Linked DNA regions of Xenopus tropicalis. The protein of the gene in region 4 interacts with the protein of the main gene of each other region in a biochemical or structural test. Links are inferred from orthologs where the notes say so. Each region holds a gene or a part of one and is shown on either strand. Other genes may lie near its edges.

Region 1 (4,729 bases), on a different chromosome or scaffold from region 4:
AAGGTGATCTTGTTCACCGTGTGGCGAATGAGCCCGGCCTTCAGCAGGTTACTGGCAAACTTGCGCGCCTCCCGCCGGTCCTGGAAGCCCTCCACGTGGTGGTACAGCCAGTCTACCATGTCTGAGCCTGGGGGGGGCAAGGGGACAGTCACGTACACTGGGGGGGCAAGGGGGCAGTCACTGGGGGGCAAGGGGGCAGTCACGTACACTGGGGGGGCAAGGGGGCAGTCACGTACACTGGGGGGGGCAAGGGGGCAGTCACGTACACTGGGGGGGGGCAAGGGGGCAGTCACGTACACTGGGGGGGGCAAGGGGGCAGTCACGTACACTGGGGGGGGCAAGGGGGCAGTCACGTACACTGGGGGGGGCAGTCACGTACACTGGGGGGGCAGTCACGTACACTGGGGGGGGGCAAGGGGGCAGTCACGTACACTGGGGGGGGCAAGGGGGCAGTCACGTACACTGGGGGGGGCAGTCACGTACACTGGGGGGGCAGTCACGTACACTGGGGGGGGCAAGGGGGCAGTCACGTACACTGGGGGGGGCAAGGGGGCAGTCACGTACACTGGGGGGGGCAAGGGGCAGTCACGTACACTGGGGGGGGCAAGGGGGCAGTCACGTACACTGGGGGGGGCAAGGGGGCAGTCACGTACACTGGGGCGGGCAAGGGGACAGTCACGTACACTGGGGGGGCAAGGGGACAGTCACGTACACTGGGGGGGCAAGGGGACAGTCACTGGGGGGGCAAGGGGACAGTCACGTACACTGGGGGGGCAAGGGGACAGTCACTGGGGGGGCAAGGGGACAGTCACTGGTGGGGCAAGGGGACAGTCACTGGTGGGGCAAGGGGACAGTCACTGGGGGGCAAGGGGACAGTCACGTACACTGGGGGGGGGGCAAGGGGGCAGTCACGTACACTGGGGGGGGCAAGGGGGCAGTCACGTACACTGGGGGGGGGCAAGGGGGCAGTCACGTACACTGGGGGGGGGCAAGGGGGCAGTCACGTACACTGGGGGGGCAAGGGGGCAGTCACGTACACTGGGGGGGCAAGGGGGCAGTCACGTACACTGGGGGGGCAAGGGGGCAGTCACGTACACTGGGGGGGCAAGGGGGCAGTCACGTACACTGGGGGGGCAAGGGGGCAGTCACGTACACTGGGGGGGCAAGGGGGCAGTCACGTACACTGGGGCGGGCAAGGGGGCAGTCACGTACACTGGGGGGGGGGGCAAGGGGGCAGTCACGTACACTGGGGGGGGGGGGGCAAGGGGACAGTCACGTACACTGGGGGGGGGGGCAAGGGGACAGTCACGTACACTGGGGGGGCAAGGGGACAGTCACGTACACGGGGGGGGGCAAGGGGACAGTCACGTACACTGGGGGGGCAAGTACCGTTAGTTACCCCATGGAACTGCCCCACAGAGGCATCCCTGCCATTAGTACCCCATGGAACTGCCCCACAGAGACATCCCTGCCATTAGTACCCTATGGAACTGCCCCACAGAGACATCCCTGCCATTAGTACCCCATGGAACTGCCCCACAGAGACATCCCTGCCATTAGTACCCCATGGAACTGCCCCACAGAGACATCCCTGCCATTAGTACCCCATGGAACTGCCCCAGACCAGACTGACCCCATGAGGGGGCAGAGGGAGGGGCAAGAGGAGGGTCTCACCCAGGAAAGCGTTGGGAATGGTGATTTTGAGCCACATACGATCTCGGACCTCGAGGCCGGACTCCGGGGAGGCCATGACCTTCGCGACGGAAGCCAAGTCCGTGTGTACAGAGAGGCTGAAGAGCGACACCGGCGGGAGTGCGTGGGAAACTGCAGGCACAGAAATGGTTAAACGTACCTGTCACATGACTGCCCGCGTCTGTTAACCCATTCCTTCCCAGGTGGGGTACAGGGCCCCCCAGTAGTGAGACACTTACGCTCGGTCTCAGTCACAGAGGTGCTGGAGGTCATGCTGCTCATGGAGGCGCTGCCGGGGTACACTGGGAACGATCCGCTAAGTGCAGCCGAGTGGGACACCCAGGCAGCAGGGTCAATCGGTTGGATGGGCTCGTCTGGGGGGAGGAGTCAGCACAGAGTCACATGATACAGTGAGGGAATGGGAGGGGCAGGGGAGGAGTCAGCACAGAGTCACATGATACAGTGAGGGAATGGGAGGGGCAGGGGAGGAGACAGCACAGAGTCACATGATACAGTGAGGGAATGGGAGGGGCAGGGGAGGAGACAGCACAGAGTCACATGATACAGTGAGGGAATGGGAGGGGCAGGGGAGGAGTCAGCACAGAGTCACATGATACAGTGAGGGAATGGGAGGGGCAGGGGAGGAGACAGCACAGAGTCACATGATACATGAGGGTTGGGGGGCAGGGGAGGAGACAGCACAGAGTCACATGATACAGTGAGGGAATGGGAGGGGCAGGGGAGGAGACAGCACAGAGTCACACGATACAGTGAGGGAATGGGAGGGGCAGGGGAGGAGACGGCACAGAGTCACATGATACAGTGAGGGTTGGGGGGCAGGGGAGGAGACAGCACAGAGTCACATGATACAGTGAGGGTTGGGGGGCAGGGGAGGAGACGGCACAGAGTCACATGATACAGTGAGGGTTGGGGGGCAGGGGAGGAGACGGCACAGAGTCACATGATACAGTGAGGGTTGGGGGGCAGGGGAGGAGACAGCACAGAGTCACATGATACAGTGAGGGTTGGGGGGCAGGGGAGGAGACGGCACAGAGTCACATGATACAGTGAGGGTTGGGGGGCAGGGGAGGAGACAGCACAGAGTCACATGATACAGTGAGGGAATGGGAGGGGCAGGGGAGGAGACAGCACAGAGTAACATGATACAGTGAGGGTTGGGGGGCAGGGGAGGAGACAGCACAGAGTCACATGATACAGTGAGGGTTGGGGGGCAGGGGAGGAGACAGCACAGAGTCACATGATACAGTGAGGGTTGGGGGGCAGGGGAGGAGACGGCACAGAGTCACATGATACAGTGAGGGAATGGGAGGGGCAGGGGAGGAGACGGCACAGAGTCACATGATACAGTGAGGGTTGGGGGGCAGGGGAGGAGACAGCACAGAGTCACATGATACAGTGAGGGTTGGGGGGCAGGGGAGGAGACGGCACAGAGTCACATGATACAGTGAGGGTTGGGGGGCAGGGGAGGAGACGGCACAGAGTCACATGATACAGTGAGGGAATGGGAGGGGCAGGGGAGGAGACAGCACAGAGTCACATGATACAGTGAGGGTTGGGGGACAGGGGAGGAGACAGCACAGAGTCACATGATACAGTGAGGGTTGGGGGACAGGGGAGGAGACAGCACAGAGTCACATGAAACAGTGAGGGAATGGGAGGGGCAGGGGAGGAGACGACTGGGTCACATGATTCGGTAGGGGGAGGAGAGTAGAAGACAATACAGTGAGGGAGGACATGGAAGAGGTGCAGAAAGAGTTTGGGGGTACAAGAGGAGGGGGGTGTAGAAGTGGGGGGACTTACTGCGGGGGAGAGTGAAGTAGCCCTGTGGGGAAGGGTCCCAGCATTTGGCCACGGTCAGGATAATAGGCCTGTAAGAGAGGCAGGGTAAAATTAAAGGCATAAACACTTACCCCCCAGGCTATTAGTTGCCCCTAGGACCCACCCCCTTACCCCGGCTTATGGACAATATCCCTAAGGACACGAACAGCATCGTCGTTGCTCATATTCTCAAAATTGATGTCATTGACCTGCAGAGAGAGAGAGAGAGAGTGCATGGGGGTAAGTGCCCGGGGGTATCTACCTATCCAGCAAGGGAGGGGCAACACTTACCTGCAGCAACATGTCCCCGGGTTCAATCCTCCCGTCGGCTGCCACGGCTCCGCCCTTCATTATGGAGCCAATATAAATGCCCCCGTCACCGCGCTCGTTGCTCTGCCCCACGATAGAGATGCCCAGGAAATTGTACTTCTCTGGGGAGGGAGAGGAAAGGGTTAAGAACTGCCCATAAAGGGGCGGGGTCACATGGCTGGGAGTCCCCCGGACACCCCTGGTGCAACTGCGCCAAGCCTGGGCCCAAGCACTGCCCACTGACCAGTAGGGGGAGCTGTTCCTCCTCTCATCAGGGCTGTAGTGATTGGTGGGGGGAAGCTGTGAGTCAGGGTTAAAGGTCAATCTCCTGTCTCAGTAACTGCCCCCCTGGGGTACAGAGAAGGCGAGCTAAGCCAATGGGAGCAGAGTGGGCGGGGCCGACTCACCCATATTCAGCGTGACGGTGATGATGTTGAGGGACATGGTGGAGTCGGTGACGCTGCTGAAGGAGGAGGTCTGTAAGAGAGAGAAGGCGGGGCTGAGGGTGGGGCCTGGCTGGAGCACCAATCAGGGCACTCTATAGCTATCCCTGCTGTAACTCACCCTCTCCAGGCGGGGGGGTCTCTGCTTGCGGCGGCGCCGGTGGCGCTTCAGGAGGCGGGATGCGCTGCTCTGCTCCGTGGAACTGCTGAACCTGAGGGAACAGCCATATTGGCATCAGGCCCCATGCAAGCCCCTCCCACTCCCTGGCATCTGGGCGGGGCCACAGTACCTGCTCATAGCGTCGTCCTCCTCCGAGTCACAGATACTCGTCTCAATCTCACTGGTCAGAAGCGTCGAGGAGGATTCGTACCCCGAGAGGTGCCGCTCTGCCCGTCCATTCACCCCCCTGGCAACACCTGCGGGAACAGAGCAACCATAGTACCCT
Region 2 (4,997 bases), on a different chromosome or scaffold from region 4:
TGTTTAAAAGAATGTGTGGCCAATTAAGTGAAATGGTCAAGTTACATCATAATAAAATGATCAGAATGTTGACCAGGAATTTTTGACTATTAACAGTATCTCACACTGAGTTTTTATTTAAACGAAAGGAACACTAGTTGCTTTACCATAGTGGTTCTGCCAAGCCTGATTCCCCCCCATATGTTGCAAACTATATCTCTATGAAAGTTGGAAGTAAGCTGACTTGCAGTGTGACCTTATTATGCCATTGCGGATGCTCTGAGTAGGCTCAATATGATATGCAGCCTGCGTAGTATCTTTGTAGTATCCTGGCCCATGCCCATAACATTGGACACCAATCTAACACAACAAATACCTATAGAATTATAAACATATACTGCCAGTTTACAAGAAACATCATTACTAAGCCTATTGCCATAAGTTATTCAATTCTGTTGAAAAACCTATTTCTGTTATAGTTACCAGTCTACTTTGAAAACTTCACACAGGTAAATTAAATAAACATATTAAAATAAGGTGGCAAAGTAAAAAAATTGTTGCATTGCACTGTTAGGCTAAAGTGAAAGGGCTCTTTGTAGCTTGCCCAAATGTTAAGGAATTTTATAGTACTTGTACTGCTGGTGAAAGGTCTTAAGTATGACTGAAAAATAATGCAAGATAAATTGTCTTAAATGCTGCCTGCCTATGTGTAATGAAAAAGAGCCAGGTGATTTAATTTAACTGTCATGGGGAACAAAGCAACTGACAAAATTAGCCATGAATGAGAGGTTTTAGATTGAAAAACATACCAACTTCAAAAAGAGGAGACTTCTATTGATAATATTTACACAGCCATTAAATTGAACAAAAAATGCACATACCAGTATGTGTTCTCAGGTGGGCTTTTAAATGGGATGACTTTGTATACACCTTTGTGCACCCTGCAATAGAAGAGTAAAAAAGCATGGTGGTTATCATTGTGAATGAACATTTCACGAAGCAACAGCCCAGAGAACATCGCTAACACTCTGTCTACCATTAAGGCATTTAATGTATTCTTTTGCAGGATACTCGCAGCTATGATGCCAAAAGCAGCCCCCGCATTTTTAAGGCAATGCCCCCCCCCCCCAATTCACTTCTATAACAATTGCCAGGTATAGTGCAATCACTTTCCAAACAAAAATAGCCTGACTGCGCAGTGCAATTTCCAAAGAAGTGTAGGGGCAATTTTTCAGTTTCTTGTCCCCATTTTGCTAGCTACTATATACCTCTGGGAACAAAATGATTAAAATCTCGCCATGTGCCATAGCCCTTAACAAGAGTAAAATACTACATATGAAGAATCTGAATTCCTTGTGGGTTTTCTGTGTAAAGAAAAAAAGAATTCCTCAAAGTTGCAACAGGTGTAGTTTTTCAAATGCCAGAGCAAGTATATTTATTCCTATTGAGCGGACTTATTTATCAAAGTTATTCAGAGCTTTAGATATCCATCTGCATTCTTGCATTCTAAAAATACCTAGGGAGATTCCAGAATTATAAGTACAGCGCAGTTTATTATTACTTTGGCATTTGCTGTTGCTAACATGAAAGTGACACATTTGCTTCTGTGCATTGCTTGGACTCTCTGCTACTTTTATCATTTTCTTTCTGTTCCTAATGATTAACTTTCACATTAAAAGGCTGTCCTAACTCATGCACAATTAGTGCTGGCATCCTCAAGTCTCACTGAAAACACCTTTCATTTCCTTTACATTTTTACATCCCTTATGTATAAGGGTTGGAATCTAAATCATGATGACTGCATAAGGGTGCAAATAAAGCACTACTGACCGAGTCAGTTCCTAATTTGCTTCACTATGCTAAATTCAGCACTATGCTGGTGACCCTCAATGGATAGGGAGCAGGGATGATCTGTGTTGTTTTCGACCTGTTCAACCTCAGACTGACCACTGACATAATGGCGAAGCATTTAAAATATGTAGAATTCACTAGAAAATGTGTATATATCTCAGGAAGTATGCACCAAAAGTCAGTGTGAGCCTACAGAAGGCCCAGAGATAACATTTATCCAAGTGTGCATAAACTTCATATAGAAAGTTCTCCACACAGAAAGGTCTCCTATGTTATACAATGCTTCAAAATATGAAACTCATTTGTTAAAATTATTTCTTAGTTAATATATAGTCATTTCTTTTCATATATGCTATATAACTTAATCCAGTTTGAAACATGTCGTACAAATAACCCCGGTTTATTTTTCATATACAGAACAACCATATTTGTCCTGGAACTATTACTTATTGAAGTAGTATCTCCTTTAATCTCTTTGCCCAGTGTTGCACTGTAAAGGACTGGGGTTTTAGATAAAGAATGCGAAAAGCAAAAGCACATTGTAGATTTAAAGACACAAGTTAAACATTAACGTTAAAATAGCAGGATGCTTATAAAAATCTTGTTATTCCTATTAAATCATCTAACTGCTCTAAATTCAACAAGGTTAGAGGTAACCTGACTTGGTGATGACGTTCTTTACACAAAATGGAGCCCTATAAACCTGACAGATTTTACTTTAAATAAGTGCTGTCAAAGTACAGTTTCGCCACAGTGACATATATAACCCAGATTCTTGCATGCGCATGTCCATATACAGGTGGAACATGCACAACTATACACACAGGTCAGATGGGTTTATTATTGTACAGGTTCCATCTCTGCAGTTTTTATGCAAAATTCTCACTATTCTCCATGTCGGACAAATCCATTTCATTATAATCACTAGGGGTACCAGTACTGTTAATGCTCAGTCTCTGCTAAAACATACAGTACTGCAGCACCTGCTCATATTTTTAAATACAAATATTCAGAGAAGGAATGTATTGTGTAAAGAATATATCATGGTCTCATTCATATCCAACTATCTAATGAACAAGAAATATGCACCCTATAAGTAAAGGAGAACTAAAACCTAGAAATGAATACTGCTAGACATGTTTATTTACCAAACTTGCTTTATTAGCCCAAAAGTTTAGCAGCTGTAGGACAGGTCTTAAAAAGTTGTCCATGGGAGCTCCCCATCTTAATCATTTGTGTATCTGTGGCACTGCATGTACTCAATGGGGCTGGTATTGGCAAGCTAAGCAAGTAAAAAACACTACCAGAAAGTTAAAGTTGTATATGTCAAAGTTGGTGATGCTACACAGCTGATTAAATTCAGAATACCTTGGTTTCTCTGCTGTTGAGTAATGTGAATTAATTACCAATAATCCTTGAATGGTGGATTTTATATTATTGTAGTGTATAGTGTATATATTATTTATTGTGCACATGTCCCTAAGCTGAGGTAGCTGAAAGTAGCCCAGAGCATGTGCGCATATTCAAAGGCACAGACCTTCATTGCTAAAGGGCTATGGCTAGTGGCCCTGGGCTAGTACAGAAGCCCAAAACATAAGGCATTGCATGTCTAGACACATTCTTTGTTAAGCTTTAGCTCTCCTTTAAGCTTTTGATTAAGTCAGTAGACCGTTACCTTGTATAAACCCCTGAACAATTACATGTAGGTTCTTACCAGGGTAGTCACAATAATGTATGCGCCTTTTCTCCAGATCTGGGTTGTTTCTACGGTTGTAGCGTACAGATTGTATAGCAGGGGCTGTTATTTGCACCTGTGCAGGTAAGGGTGGATTGTGAATGGCCATCTTGGATGCTATCGTGGCTGCATAAGATGGTGGAGGGTTTAAACTCTGGAGAAGCTCTGCTTGCCTATCTGGGCTGCCTGGTTCAGAGCTAGGAGGAGAAGGTGGAAAGTAGGTTCCTTCTTGCTGGTGCAGAAATTGGCTAGGCATGCCATATGAGCACTGAGGGATGCTCTGGAATTGTTTCATTGCAGTCTGTTGTACTGGAGAAGAAAGTGTATTAAAGGCAGACATGTCTGTGGCCATGGAAGCACTATTAATAGTGTCCATAACTGAGGGTTGGTTTGTGGAGTTAGACATATCAATGTCTGGCGAACTTAAAAGCTGGTATAACTGGCCCTGCTGAGGATTGACAGAGAGCGGAAGCTCTGGTGAAGGGAGCTCTTGTTTGATGTAGATGTTATTAACATCTGCGTTTTGGTGGGAACTGAAGATGCTGGTGAATTCAGGAAGACTCTGTGTGGGTTCAGCATCACTTGAGTGGCTAAATACTGAAGTGGGCTCTGTCTTGATATGGGTCACGGGTGGCCTCTGGCTCTTATACAGGCTTGTTCTTAAGTGAGTGATATCAGGAAGGAAGACATTCATGTTTATACTGTAAGGAAGTCCATCACTCTCATTAAAAAACTGATCAACACCTGATGCACTGTCTCGCCTGTACTTTTTTAAATCTTGCATGATGTTAACTTGAGGAGGTGGGGGAGGAGGTTGATGATGATGATGATGATGATGATGAGGTGAAAGATATTTATCCATTTCGCATCTAGTCTGAAAAATAAAAGAAAAAAAGGTTACATATTAAACCCTTCCTATATACCATTTTGTACTGCCTGTGGATGCTAACCTTCTGTTAGAGGCAAAACAAAAGATATATATATAACCAAAACAATGTTACAGAAATAACAGAACGCTAAAAATTATGTTTCCCTTCAAAATTCATTGCGCCAAGCAGATTCCCAGCACTAGAGCTGAGGCCAGCTTGATCCCTTTCTCCCACATACTGATACACACAGAACATTCCAAAGCAGCTAGAAAATGTTAGATAATATTCTCCATGGTGTCTCAACATAATATAGAAAAGCCAAGTCTCTGGACTTCCTAAACTGAAACAAACAGCGGCTGGTACAGTTAAAGAGACACTGCAGCACTTACATTCATATCTGCTTAGATGAGGTGCAGTGGAGGCCGTGGGTGGCTGCAGGATGATAGGTTACATTTACAGTCATCAGCAAAGCATTTATCGTGTGCTGCTCAATAGACAAATGCTACATTCCCCCTTGCACTGTAAAAACTCCAGTCATTCCTTAACCCATCAGCCTTCTCCAA
Region 3 (5,699 bases), on a different chromosome or scaffold from region 4:
TTATTACAGAGAAAAGGGGAATCATTTAACCATTAAATAAACCCAATAGGGCTGTTCTGCCCCCAATAAGGGGTAATTATATCTTAGTTGGGATCAAGTACAGGTACTGTTTTATTATTACAGAGAAAAGGGAATCATTTAACCATTAAATAAACTCAATAGGGCTGTTCTGCCCCAATAAGGGGTAATTATATCTTAGTTGGGATCAAGTACAGGTACTGTTTTATTATTACAGAGAAAAAGTAAATGATTTTGAAAAATTTGAATTATTTGCTTAAAATGGAGTCTATGTGAGATATTTAAGAACTTTCTGGATAATGGGTTTCCAGATGACAGATCTCACACCTGTATTTTATAATAGTGAGTAAAATGACTTACCGCTGGGTGGTGGCGGATAAGGATAACCAGCAGGTGGAGGTGGGTAGATGCCATTGGCTGCAGGAGGTGGGAAGACGTAGCCCCCATTGGGCATATATGGGTAGGCAACATTTGGAGCTCCTCCACTTGAGGCTACAAGGGCGAGTAGAAACCATATTTTATAAAAATGGGTAAAGGAAAAAGTGCATTGCAAAGGCTGAGGCAGAATTTCTGACCCATTGGGATTTCCCTTTAAATCTTTTCCCCGAGGTGTGGGGCTTGTGGCAAATGTGTATTTGCTCTCCTAGGTAGTCCTGGGAGTCCAGACTAAATGTCAAGAGATTGTGACTTCAGATACCCCCTGCTCACCTTGAGAGGCCACGTGTAGCATGTGCTGGCCGAACTCTATAGCGCCCCCTGAAGGAAAGCTTAGTTTAAATGTAGCAGATCCTTCCCAACCACCTGCAGGCAAAGAAATGAATTCCAGATTAAAAGATATATTTAACCTACAGCAAATTATATTAGCAAAAAATAAAGGCAGGTGTCCCAGGAGCTGAAGTGGGACCTAGAACGCATAGGTATCCGTCAGATAGTAACACTGCTCACCTCCAGGCTCAGCTCTCACGTTGCCCTTGATAAAATTGGCTCCAAATACGGGCTGCTTAATTTCACAGTCCTTCATCAGATAGAAGGGCATCATGAACGACTGCATGGGGTCCCTTCCTTTGGACACAAATATCACCTGTGGATGCAAAATTAGCCTCACCCACATGCATAATACACAAGAGCCGTAAAAGATATGCTTATAAATAGGTTAGAATCTGTGTCACATGACTCACTGAAATAATAATAACTGAAAGAATAATGTACCCCCTTGGAATAAAATGAGAGAATATTAGACACCTCAAAGCTTTAGGGCCTGTATTAAAGTGATTTTGTGCCGCCTTTATATGTTCATGGATCCCCTCTGTGACTTTTATTAAGGAGGTGTAGAAGGGCACTAGCCCTATATGTAATAAATGACACTAAAGTTTGGCATACACTGGCAAATCTAAGTTGCCGATTTGAGTCCTTCAGACCGTTTCGGGCGCTTATCTGCCCATGGGGCCCCCCAGCAGGCCTACCCAACCAATATCTGGATAAAAATGGGCAGGTGGCGAAACAATCGATTTAGCCAAATTTTGCCCACCTTAGGTGGAAATGATCCACTCGATTAAACCTTAAGTTTGCCTGATAGCAATAACCCACAGCAACCAATAAGTATATTCTACCTGCTGACTGGTTGCTATGGGTTACTGTTCCTGGGCAAATTTAGTTTTTTTAATTACATAACCCCCAAGTGTCTTCTCTGACCTAATGGAAAGTTTAGTTGCACATTAGCAGTTTATTCCATGGTGCCAATGAGTCAGACTGCACCTAATGAGTGAAGGAAAAGGGAGGCAGACTTACTCGATATGGTGTCAGAATGACTCTGCCTTTCTTGGTCCCTCTGAAAGCCTCTGGGGTGCTGTCCATGTCACTAAATGTGACCTCCACATGTTCATAAGAAGTAAGGATACTGGAAGATAATAAAGGGCAAGTTCAATGAGAACAGTGCAGTTTAGTAGTCAAAGACGAACTGCCAGCTGGACACCGGGAAAAAACCAAGCGGGCCCCTCGATCCCTGCTGGTGTTCCTGAACTGACGTCCCTCCACCAGACTGGGGGGTTTGGGATGATGGGGACCCCTTGGGGGTGTGGTGTGTGTGGGGGGTGGTTATTGTGCATCTTCATGATATTGGGCCAAACTGACTATCTGTTTGAGGAATAAGAGGAGTGCCCAAGGGTGTAAATGTAGAGGAAGAAGACCCTGCAACTGCCAAGGTATAAGAGATCAGTGTCAGACTGGGAACCCAGAGGCCCACCAGAAAACCTTAGACCCCAGGCCGCTTTTCCAAACTATTTTTCCTCCTTTCCTCACCCAACCTCTTTATTCTCCTAGTCTCTTTTATTTACATGCTAGCATCTATTCTTCCATCTATTTCTCTTCTTTGTTCCCATTCAGAAACAGGGAATGACCATGAAGCAGGCCAAATGCTGAGGAGCAGGAGGGCCCACTGACATCTGGGCCCACCGGGAGTTTTCCTGCTATCCTTGTGGGCCAGTCCGACACCGTAAGAGATCCAACAGAACACTGAATGATACGCGGTTTCAGTGGCATAACTGAGCCCTATAGCAAAATCATTTTAGCGCCCCAATAAACTTTAGGAATAAGACATTTTTTATAATAAAGCTATTAAAACTGCTTATCAGTCAGTGCCCTATGGGGCCTCCTATAATCTCCAGGGTCACTCTGCCTTCCCCGGGTCTGAGCGTTAAATATCTCCTACATATTGCAGCACTGTATACACCCCTCCACTGTATCATGTGATTATGTAAGTGCTTCATAAGAATATTATATTAAATTAATAATATAAATAATAATAAAGGGGGTTTAGTAAGTAAATCTCACAAGGGATACATGTGGGACATATTATATATAGATATGCTGATAGAATTAAGTATATTGTGCCTGGGAATAGGAAAACACACACAATATTATACAAATAGTACAGCAGACAGGCAAAGAGAGGGAGGCGGGTGTATCTGTATCAGCTCCATAATTGGCACAAATCCCTGCTCGTCATGTCCAAGCTCCGCCCCATATATGATGACAGATACCCGGAACCCATATTCATGCAGGGGGTCCGTCTAACGTTTCGCTGACTGCTTCCCGCGACTGTCTCTCTACTTAGCCGCTGTCCTACCTCTCGCTGTTGTTAATTACTGCACCTCCGCCATCCAGGTGGTTCCTGTTAAGGGCCATATTGCGGAGATAAAAAGGTCACACCTCCGCAGCCTAGCAACAGCCAATCACCGTGCTCGAAGAGTCTCTCGCACTTTGAGACGCAGTCTGGGCGGTTCCACTGCTGTAGGGCCGGCCGCTCATTGGCTGAGGGATCTATGACTGGCATGTGTTCTTGATCGCTAGGGGGCGTGTATCACTGAAAATAAACCATGGCCGCTTGAGGCGCTAATGTTGTAGTTGTGTTTCTGCGTTGCTAATACTTCATTGTAACGATCACTTAGCGCTGAGGCGCAGAGCTGCTCCGTGTATTACGGTTGTTACCAATGTAGCGCTGTGTTTGGGCGGCTATTCAGGGCAGTAAGTGTTAAATTCTACTTTATGGGGAATATCCAATCTTATTTTGTACAGTTATATCGGCCAATTAGTTAGTTAAACATACTACTTCACTACAAACCTCTCCTAACAGGATTTCATACAATCCCAATTGAGGTTATCACAGGGCTGATATTAAGCTATTTCATACTCCCCGCGTAGTTGCTTCGCCCCTTCTTACACTTAGGGGCACATTTACTAACCCACGAACGTCCAAAAAGTGTTTTTTTTTCGTAATGATCGGTATTTTGTGACTTTTTCGAGCGCTCAATACGAAAGTCGCGACAATTCGCGCAAGTCGTAACGGCTACGAAAAAGTCACAAAAAATATGAAAAAGTCGCAAAATGTTCGTTTTACAATCCAAATTTTTCCCATTCGGATTCGTGGATTAGTAAATCAGCCCCTTAGTATAGCGGCGGAAATACAAGAAGGTCTCTAACTGGTCGATGTATATATTAGTTGAGGTAAAGTTATCTTACAGGTAAGTATTACGTTGCGTTTCTCTAACATACGGTGGGTCCGGTATTGCCAGGGTAAAGCCGCCATACACGCACCGATAATATACGTAACCTCGTTTCATACGATATTCGGTGCGTGTATGGCAACTCGGCGAGGCGGCCGATATCACAGAAGGCTGTCGACTCACCAATCGGACCGGTTAAAAGATTTTGTTTGGGCACCGTAGAAGGCGCCTGAGCAAAATCTGCCTTCAGCGCTGAATCGGCAGAAGGAGGTAGAAATTAGAGCTGGGCGGTATGGCCAAAAATTTATATTGCAGTATTTTTCAAAATGATATCGGTGTCGCTGTATTTGACGGTATTTTTTTTTTTCCATGCATGATTAGGTGTTAACCCCATTTCCTAATAAATTAGAGAATAATTACTGTAGTATTGAAAATCAGAGTCAGGCAAGCGAAGGATCGGCAACAGAAAGTCGTAAGGTAAATCAGGCAGGCTTAGTTTCCCAGGCAAGGCCGCAGACAACATAGCACAGGAGGAGGCGTTTGATAGCTTTAAATACCCCCCACGCATGCGCAGAACCGGCGCCGTTAGCGCGTCGCGGACGTGCACGCTTTGACATGTACGTGCGCTTTGACGCACACACACCTGGACGCGCGTGCGCAATGTCCCGCGGACAACGGGACGCGCGCGCAAGGAGGCGTGCGAGAACGGGCCGCACGGGTGAGTACCCTGACACCCCGGTATTGCGGTATCTGAAAAATGAATATAGTTTTAAAAAAAACACCGGTATTCGGTATTAAACGGTATATCGCCCAGCTCTAGTAGAAATCCTATTGTTTCTACCTCCATATCTGACGTTTCAGCCCTGAACGTAAGTGGAGGGTGGGAACAATCTTTCGTGCGACTGATGGTTGCACGAAAGATCAAAAATTGCCACGTGTGTGGCCACCGTAAGTAACTAAGATGTATGAATACCTATTGGAGCCGGGAAATGGTTGAACAAAACCCACCCCGCGCCCCTTCCCAGGACTACACCAAGTACCCTTCGGCGTTTATAATTGAAACCCTCGTCACTCAGATAGAATTCACTACCACACGTGGAATTCTTCTGTACGTAAAGTCCCTACCAGGTTACCATGCCTACTACCATCGTTTGTACCTGATATGATTGACTTCTCCATGTAATAATCACTCACCAACTGCTTTGCAGTAGAAAAATGGGTACCCATTTTGGATTCGGGGGAATGTGTTCTTTTTGAAAATATATCATTTTCTTGGTCTTGAATTGAATATGCAGGTTTCTGGGTTAGTGTTTAGAAATGTAGTTCCGTACTGCTGGGAGTTTCTGACCCGTACAAATCTCCATAAAACTAAAAATATTTGGAATTTGAGTGCCCAGGAGACATGGGACTTTTCAAATCAGTTGTATTTTTGGGCATAAAATGAATGAAGTTTCGGATATATGTGTTTATATTATGGAAAATTTACATTTTTTCTTGTTACAGTCATTCTAGCATATTTTGGAAGCTTAGGTTGTCCAAAAAAAAAAAAATTATATATTGTTTACCTGGGTAAAAAAAATAGTTACCCCAGGAAAGGCCCCTAGAGTGAAAGAGCAAAAAACGTTCTAAAACTGCCTGGCAATAAAAGTACCGCAAGTGACCAAATTCACTAGCAGTGAA
Region 4 (4,997 bases):
ATATGGTATGTTTATACTAACCCACAAAAGTAGCATGATTATACTAACACCCACATAAGCGGTTGACTTCACAAGTAGCCTGTGTGTGGCCAGCTTTGCTCACAACAGCAACAATGCAGCTCTGTACAATAAGGAGAAATGTCTCATGTTCTCTTCACAGCAATAGCCCATCTTGTAGCAAGACAAGACTGCTTCATACATCCACCGGGACAGTAACCTATTACAGCCACTGATACCTGCTTTTATTTTAACCCCACTAGACTTAAAGTAACAGTAACACCAAAAAATGAAAATGTATAAAAATAATTAATATATTATATACTATTGCTCTGCACTGCTAAAAGTTGTGGGTTTTCTTCAAAAACACTACTGCAGTTTATATACATACCCTGCTCTGTAGCCATGGGGGCAGCCATTTAAATCGAAAAAAGGAGAAAAGGCACAGGTTACTAAGCAGATAACAGATAAGTAGCAGATTCCCATTGTATTCTACACAGTTTATCTGTTATCTTCTTATGTAAACTGTACCTTTTCTCCTTTTTTCAATTTAAATGGCTGCCCCCATGGCTACACAGCAGCTATTTCTATTAACTATAGTAGTCTTTCTGAAGCAAACACACAACTTTTACCAGTGCAGGGCAACAGTACATTATATTTTAATTATTTTAAAACATTTTTATTTTTTAGTGTTACTGTTCCTTTAAGTTATGGTTTACTGCATTGGTATTTCTACTCATTAAGTCATTCTTTTGTTGGGTTTCATTACAAGGGTATAATTCATGAAGTGAAAGCTATGAAGGACACCCCAATGTAATTGGTTTGTTGAGGCTTTCATGATAATGAATAATATCTTTATTTTCAGAAAAGCCATTTCTATGGCTATTTGGACAGGTTTAATTTAACTGTGCTTGTACATGCTGGGAAAATAGCTTCCATGTTAGTGACTTGGTGCCTTGTACTTTGCAGGTTATGCTGTGTGGCATGCAGGAGGTGGATTTATCAGACTGGCAGCGGAATACAGTCTATCGGCATTACACAAGGAATAGCAAGCAGATCATATGGTTCTGGCAGGTGATTATGTTGTGGCTGACGATGTGTGCGGGGCATCATCTTAACTAGGCATTGATTTTTTTTTTTTTTTCTTAAATATAATTCATTTGGATGATGTGTCTAATGTTACTAGATGTCCACAGCATTAAATGTGTGTGAAAGGTTAGCCTTACTTTGGGCCAAGCAGTAGTAGATAGCAGACCCTGCAGCTGCTGGAGGCCCCAGAAAGATAAAGAGCGATCTTTCTTATACACGTATTAAAATGCAGTAAGATTACCCAGTGGGTGTAAGAAAGTTCACCTTTCCCAAGATTTGGTGGTGGCGGGTGAGGGGAAAAAAAAGCTTTGGTTGTGTGACCCAGAGACTTTGTTTCTTTTTTGGAGCTGTGGAAGGTAGTGTGTTTGATACACATTAATCTCATACACTGTGGTACCCTAAACCAGGGATTTTCAGCTGGAAGCCCACAAACTAGATGTGGCCCTCTAAGAGATGTTTATGGTCCCCCACGGGACTTCAGTGACTTAAATACAATCCTTCCCAGGACATGAGGCATGGTGGGTAATCATATCTACATGGGAAAATGTTAGACAGCCCTACTTTATGCAGTACCAAGTCTTACTGCTGAATTAAGCTGTGCATCCTTGTTACTTTTATTTCAGTTTGTGAAGGAAATGGACAATGAGGTGCGGTTGCGGCTGCTGCAGTTTGTCACTGGTACCTGCAGGCTGCCGCTGGGAGGATTCGCAGAGCTCATGGGTAAGTGTTGGTGTATAATTTCTTCTAATTTCCTAGGCCCTCAACAATGGCTAATGCTGCTGTCTTATTGCAGGAAGCAACGGTCCACAGAAATTCTGCATTGAGAAGGTTGGAAAAGAAACATGGCTCCCTCGAAGTCATACATGGTAAGATGAATGATGTATGAGCAGTACTGACTTCCCGCTGTGTCAGTGTGCGGGAGGGGTGAGGCAGATTCCCTAAGAAGGGAGTTGGGACTGGACCCACCAAGCACATAGACAGACTATTGTATTCAGGCTATGGGCAAGCCTGTAATGCTCCAGGGGTGGTTGTAGAACCACACATAACAGCGTTCCCCTGTCACTGCAGTTAACGGTGGATTTCTAGTAAGTGTAATATAGTTGGGTGTTGATAAGATCTAAACTTCTGGAAAATAATAATTGTTTTCTCTGTAAAAGAACAACATTTTTAAGGGGAAGTTCCTTCAGAATAACTTTTAGTATGAAGTAGATCAGGGGTGGCCAGACTCTTTTTTTCCATCGTGATCGACTGACGACCGGGAAATGTGGAAGTGCGGCCTATCCTGGATGGTAGGGGAAGCCAGTGCAGGGATAGGCAGAGTGGCATGGCAGAGGAGGAGCGGTTGGAGAGGTGTATGAGCCTGGCAGCAGTATTCATTATGGACTGGAGAGGGGACAGTCTTTGGAGGGGAAGGCCAATTAATAGGGAGTTACAGTAGTCCAGGCAAGATATTATAAGAGAGTGAATAAGAATTTTGGCAGCATCTTGGGTGATAAATGATCGGATTTTGGAGATATTTCTTAGGTGAAAGTGACATGATTTGATAAGTGTGAATATGAGGGGTGAAGGACAGGGCGGAATCAAGGATAACCCCAAGGCACCGGGCCTGGGAAGATGGGGTGATGGTAGAATTGTTAACAGTTATAGATACCTCGGGAACAATGTGGGTGTTGGATGGGGGAAAGAGAACCAGTTTTAGAGAGGTTTAATTTGAGGTAACGTTGGGACATCCAAGTGGAGATAGAGGACAGGCAGGAAAGACGCGAGTTAGAAGCTCTGGGTTGAGATCAGGAGAGGAAAGATAAATCTGAGTATCGTCAGCATAGAGGTGGTACTGAAAGCCAAAAGAACTGATTAGTTTGCCAAGTGAGGAGGTATAGAGAGAAAATAGTAAGGGGCCCAGGACAGAGCCTTGAGGAACCCCGACAGAAAGAGGCAGGGGAGAAGATGATTCCCCATTGTAAGAGACACTGAAGGATCGATCTGAGAGATAAGATGAAAACCAGGATAAGGCAGTGTCACGAAGGCCAAGAGAGCGGAGAGTCTGTAGGAGAAGAGGGTGATCCACAGTGTCAAAAGCAGCAGAGAGATCGAGAAGTATTAGTAGCGAGTAGTGTTTTTTGGCTTTAGCCGAAAGGAGGTCATTTGTTAGTCGGACGCAGTGTACGTACGCATTCACGCAGCACTTCCGCATCCCCAGCTTCATCACGGTCCAGCAGAAATCCATGGGGGATTGACTGGTGGACCGCAATCGACATATTGGCCACCCTTGATGTAGATGATATTCTGAAACAAGTTGCAATTAGTCTTCATTTTCTTATAGTATTTGAATTATTTAGTTTATTGTTCTGCCCCTCTCCAGTTTTGAATTTCATCAGCTATCTGGTTGCTAGGATCAGTTTACCCTAGCAATGAGGTAGTGGTTTGAATAAGAGACTGGAAGATTAATATGAAATGGCTTAAATAGAATGATAAGTAAAAAGTAACAGTAAGATTGTATGTAGCCTCACAAAGCAACTGGTGTCAGCGACCCCATTGTTATTGTTACTTTTTATTACTTACTACTTTTTATTCAGGCCCTCTCCCATTCATATGTCAATCTCTCAATCAAACTACTTCCTGGTTGGTAAGTTAATTTGCAACCAGTTGGGTTGAGCTAACTCAATGGTGAACCACCCCTTTAAGCCTTGCCAACGGCCCTTTCTTTTGCAGTTTCAATCGACTGGACCTGCCGCCATATAAAAGCTATGAACAACTGAAGGAGAAGCTGCTTTTTGCAATTGAAGAAACGGAAGGATTTGGCCAAGAATGACAGGCAGCTAATTATTTTTTATGGACATGCATTGTATGCCCAGCCAAGTAAAATTGCACACAATTATTGTATATTGTATATATATATATATATATATGCTGTTTAGTCTGTACAGTGATCTTTCTCAAACTAATGTGTAGGTCAGGGTTAGGCAACCACTGGCATGCCAGCTGTTTCAGAACGACAACTCCCACACTGCCCCACCAGCTTTACTGATGGTGAGTTCTGGGAGATGTCATTGTGCATCAGGTGGACTGGCAAAGGGTGCCTATCCCAAAGGTAGATATTTGTTCTTCCACCTAGATATGCAAAACACTTTAGCCTTTTTCTATTTTTATTTATTTCCCCTTCAGATGACTGATTAGTTACAAAAAAACAAAAAAAACAAATAACTTTAATTTTAAACGCTGACTGAAGACTTTATTTTAAAATTTATATATATAAATATATCTAATGTGTATATACTTGGGAACTCTAGTTTTATAGAGTTGTAAGTATGCAGAACATCAGCCATTTGAGGAGGCTCGGGATCGCTTTATAACAATTTGCAAACAGTCATGTTCTTCTACAGAACATCCTTATCACAGATGTCTATTGCATGGCTGCCAACAGAGGTGTTGAGAGCTATTGCCAAAAAAAAATTAAAAAAAACCTTTGTTAATCATGCGAGAACTATTGCTGCTGGCTTTTCAGAATGGCAGAATGTGCACAGTTCTGCTCCTTTCATTTACTCAGTGTGATAGGCTGATTCTATTGAATGGTGCATATGTAGCTGAAGCTATGAGCGTGGCACCTACTTGCAGCTGCTGCTTCCTGGCCCTGTACAAAAGCAGCACATTGCTCCTCCGTGTGTTGCCATTATTGCTCAGTATAGACAGGGTTTCTGAGAGAGCAGGCTCGGTAGGGGCCACCACTTAGCTTTTAGATGACAGTGTGAGTGACGGTCTGGCCGTTTCAACAAGGATTACCTGGAAAACTTTTGAAAATAAGACGAATAAATTTTTTTTTTTTTGCTAGATCTTGTTTCTGAGTCCTTCTGTGATTGGCACGGGCAGTGGCCCTAAGGATGGTTGTTGTAGTAGTTGCAGTTTATACTGGG

The links.
Region 1: the proteins of wwp1 (region 4) and dvl2 form a complex in vitro, tested with the Homo sapiens proteins (2 studies listed by BioGRID, with this or other methods). The link is inferred for Xenopus tropicalis from reciprocal best matches to the Homo sapiens genes WWP1 and DVL2.
Region 2: of the proteins of wwp1 (region 4) and klf5, one has a biochemical effect on the other in vitro, tested with the Homo sapiens proteins (4 studies listed by BioGRID, with this or other methods). The link is inferred for Xenopus tropicalis from reciprocal best matches to the Homo sapiens genes WWP1 and KLF5.
Region 3: of the proteins of wwp1 (region 4) and wbp2, one has a biochemical effect on the other in vitro, tested with the Homo sapiens proteins (2 studies listed by BioGRID, with this or other methods). The link is inferred for Xenopus tropicalis from reciprocal best matches to the Homo sapiens genes WWP1 and WBP2.

What each region holds. Positions count from the first base shown.
Region 1 is NC_030679.2:153,290,070-153,294,798, forward strand, and holds part of dvl2 (segment polarity protein dishevelled homolog DVL-2), read right to left. Parts: intron 4,701-4,729; coding exon 4,574-4,700; intron 4,496-4,573; coding exon 4,405-4,495; intron 4,318-4,404; coding exon 4,248-4,317; intron 3,963-4,247; coding exon 3,823-3,962; intron 3,741-3,822; coding exon 3,664-3,740; intron 3,582-3,663; coding exon 3,514-3,581; intron 2,067-3,513; coding exon 1,932-2,066; intron 1,825-1,931; coding exon 1,675-1,824; intron 128-1,674; coding exon 1-127.
Region 2 is NC_030678.2:127,154,269-127,159,265, forward strand, and holds part of klf5 (Krueppel-like factor 5), read right to left. Parts: intron 4,440-4,997; coding exon 3,545-4,439; intron 921-3,544; coding exon 861-920; intron 1-860. UniProt on the Homo sapiens protein: Transcription factor that binds to GC box promoter elements. Activates the transcription of these genes.
Region 3 is NC_030686.2:44,869,141-44,874,839, forward strand, and holds the start of wbp2 (WW domain-binding protein 2), read right to left. Parts: upstream 3,269-5,699; 5' UTR 3,202-3,268; coding exon 3,143-3,201; intron 1,916-3,142; coding exon 1,807-1,915; intron 1,100-1,806; coding exon 964-1,099; intron 820-963; coding exon 727-819; intron 511-726; coding exon 379-510; intron 1-378. UniProt on the Homo sapiens protein: Acts as a transcriptional coactivator of estrogen and progesterone receptors (ESR1 and PGR) upon hormone activation. In presence of estrogen, binds to ESR1-responsive promoters. Synergizes with YAP1 to enhance PGR activity.
Region 4 is NC_030682.2:125,525,994-125,530,990, forward strand, and holds the end of wwp1 (NEDD4-like E3 ubiquitin-protein ligase WWP1), read left to right. Parts: intron 1-966; coding exon 967-1,071; intron 1,072-1,709; coding exon 1,710-1,806; intron 1,807-1,879; coding exon 1,880-1,952; intron 1,953-3,798; coding exon 3,799-3,898; 3' UTR 3,899-4,274; downstream 4,275-4,997. UniProt on the Homo sapiens protein: E3 ubiquitin-protein ligase which accepts ubiquitin from an E2 ubiquitin-conjugating enzyme in the form of a thioester and then directly transfers the ubiquitin to targeted substrates.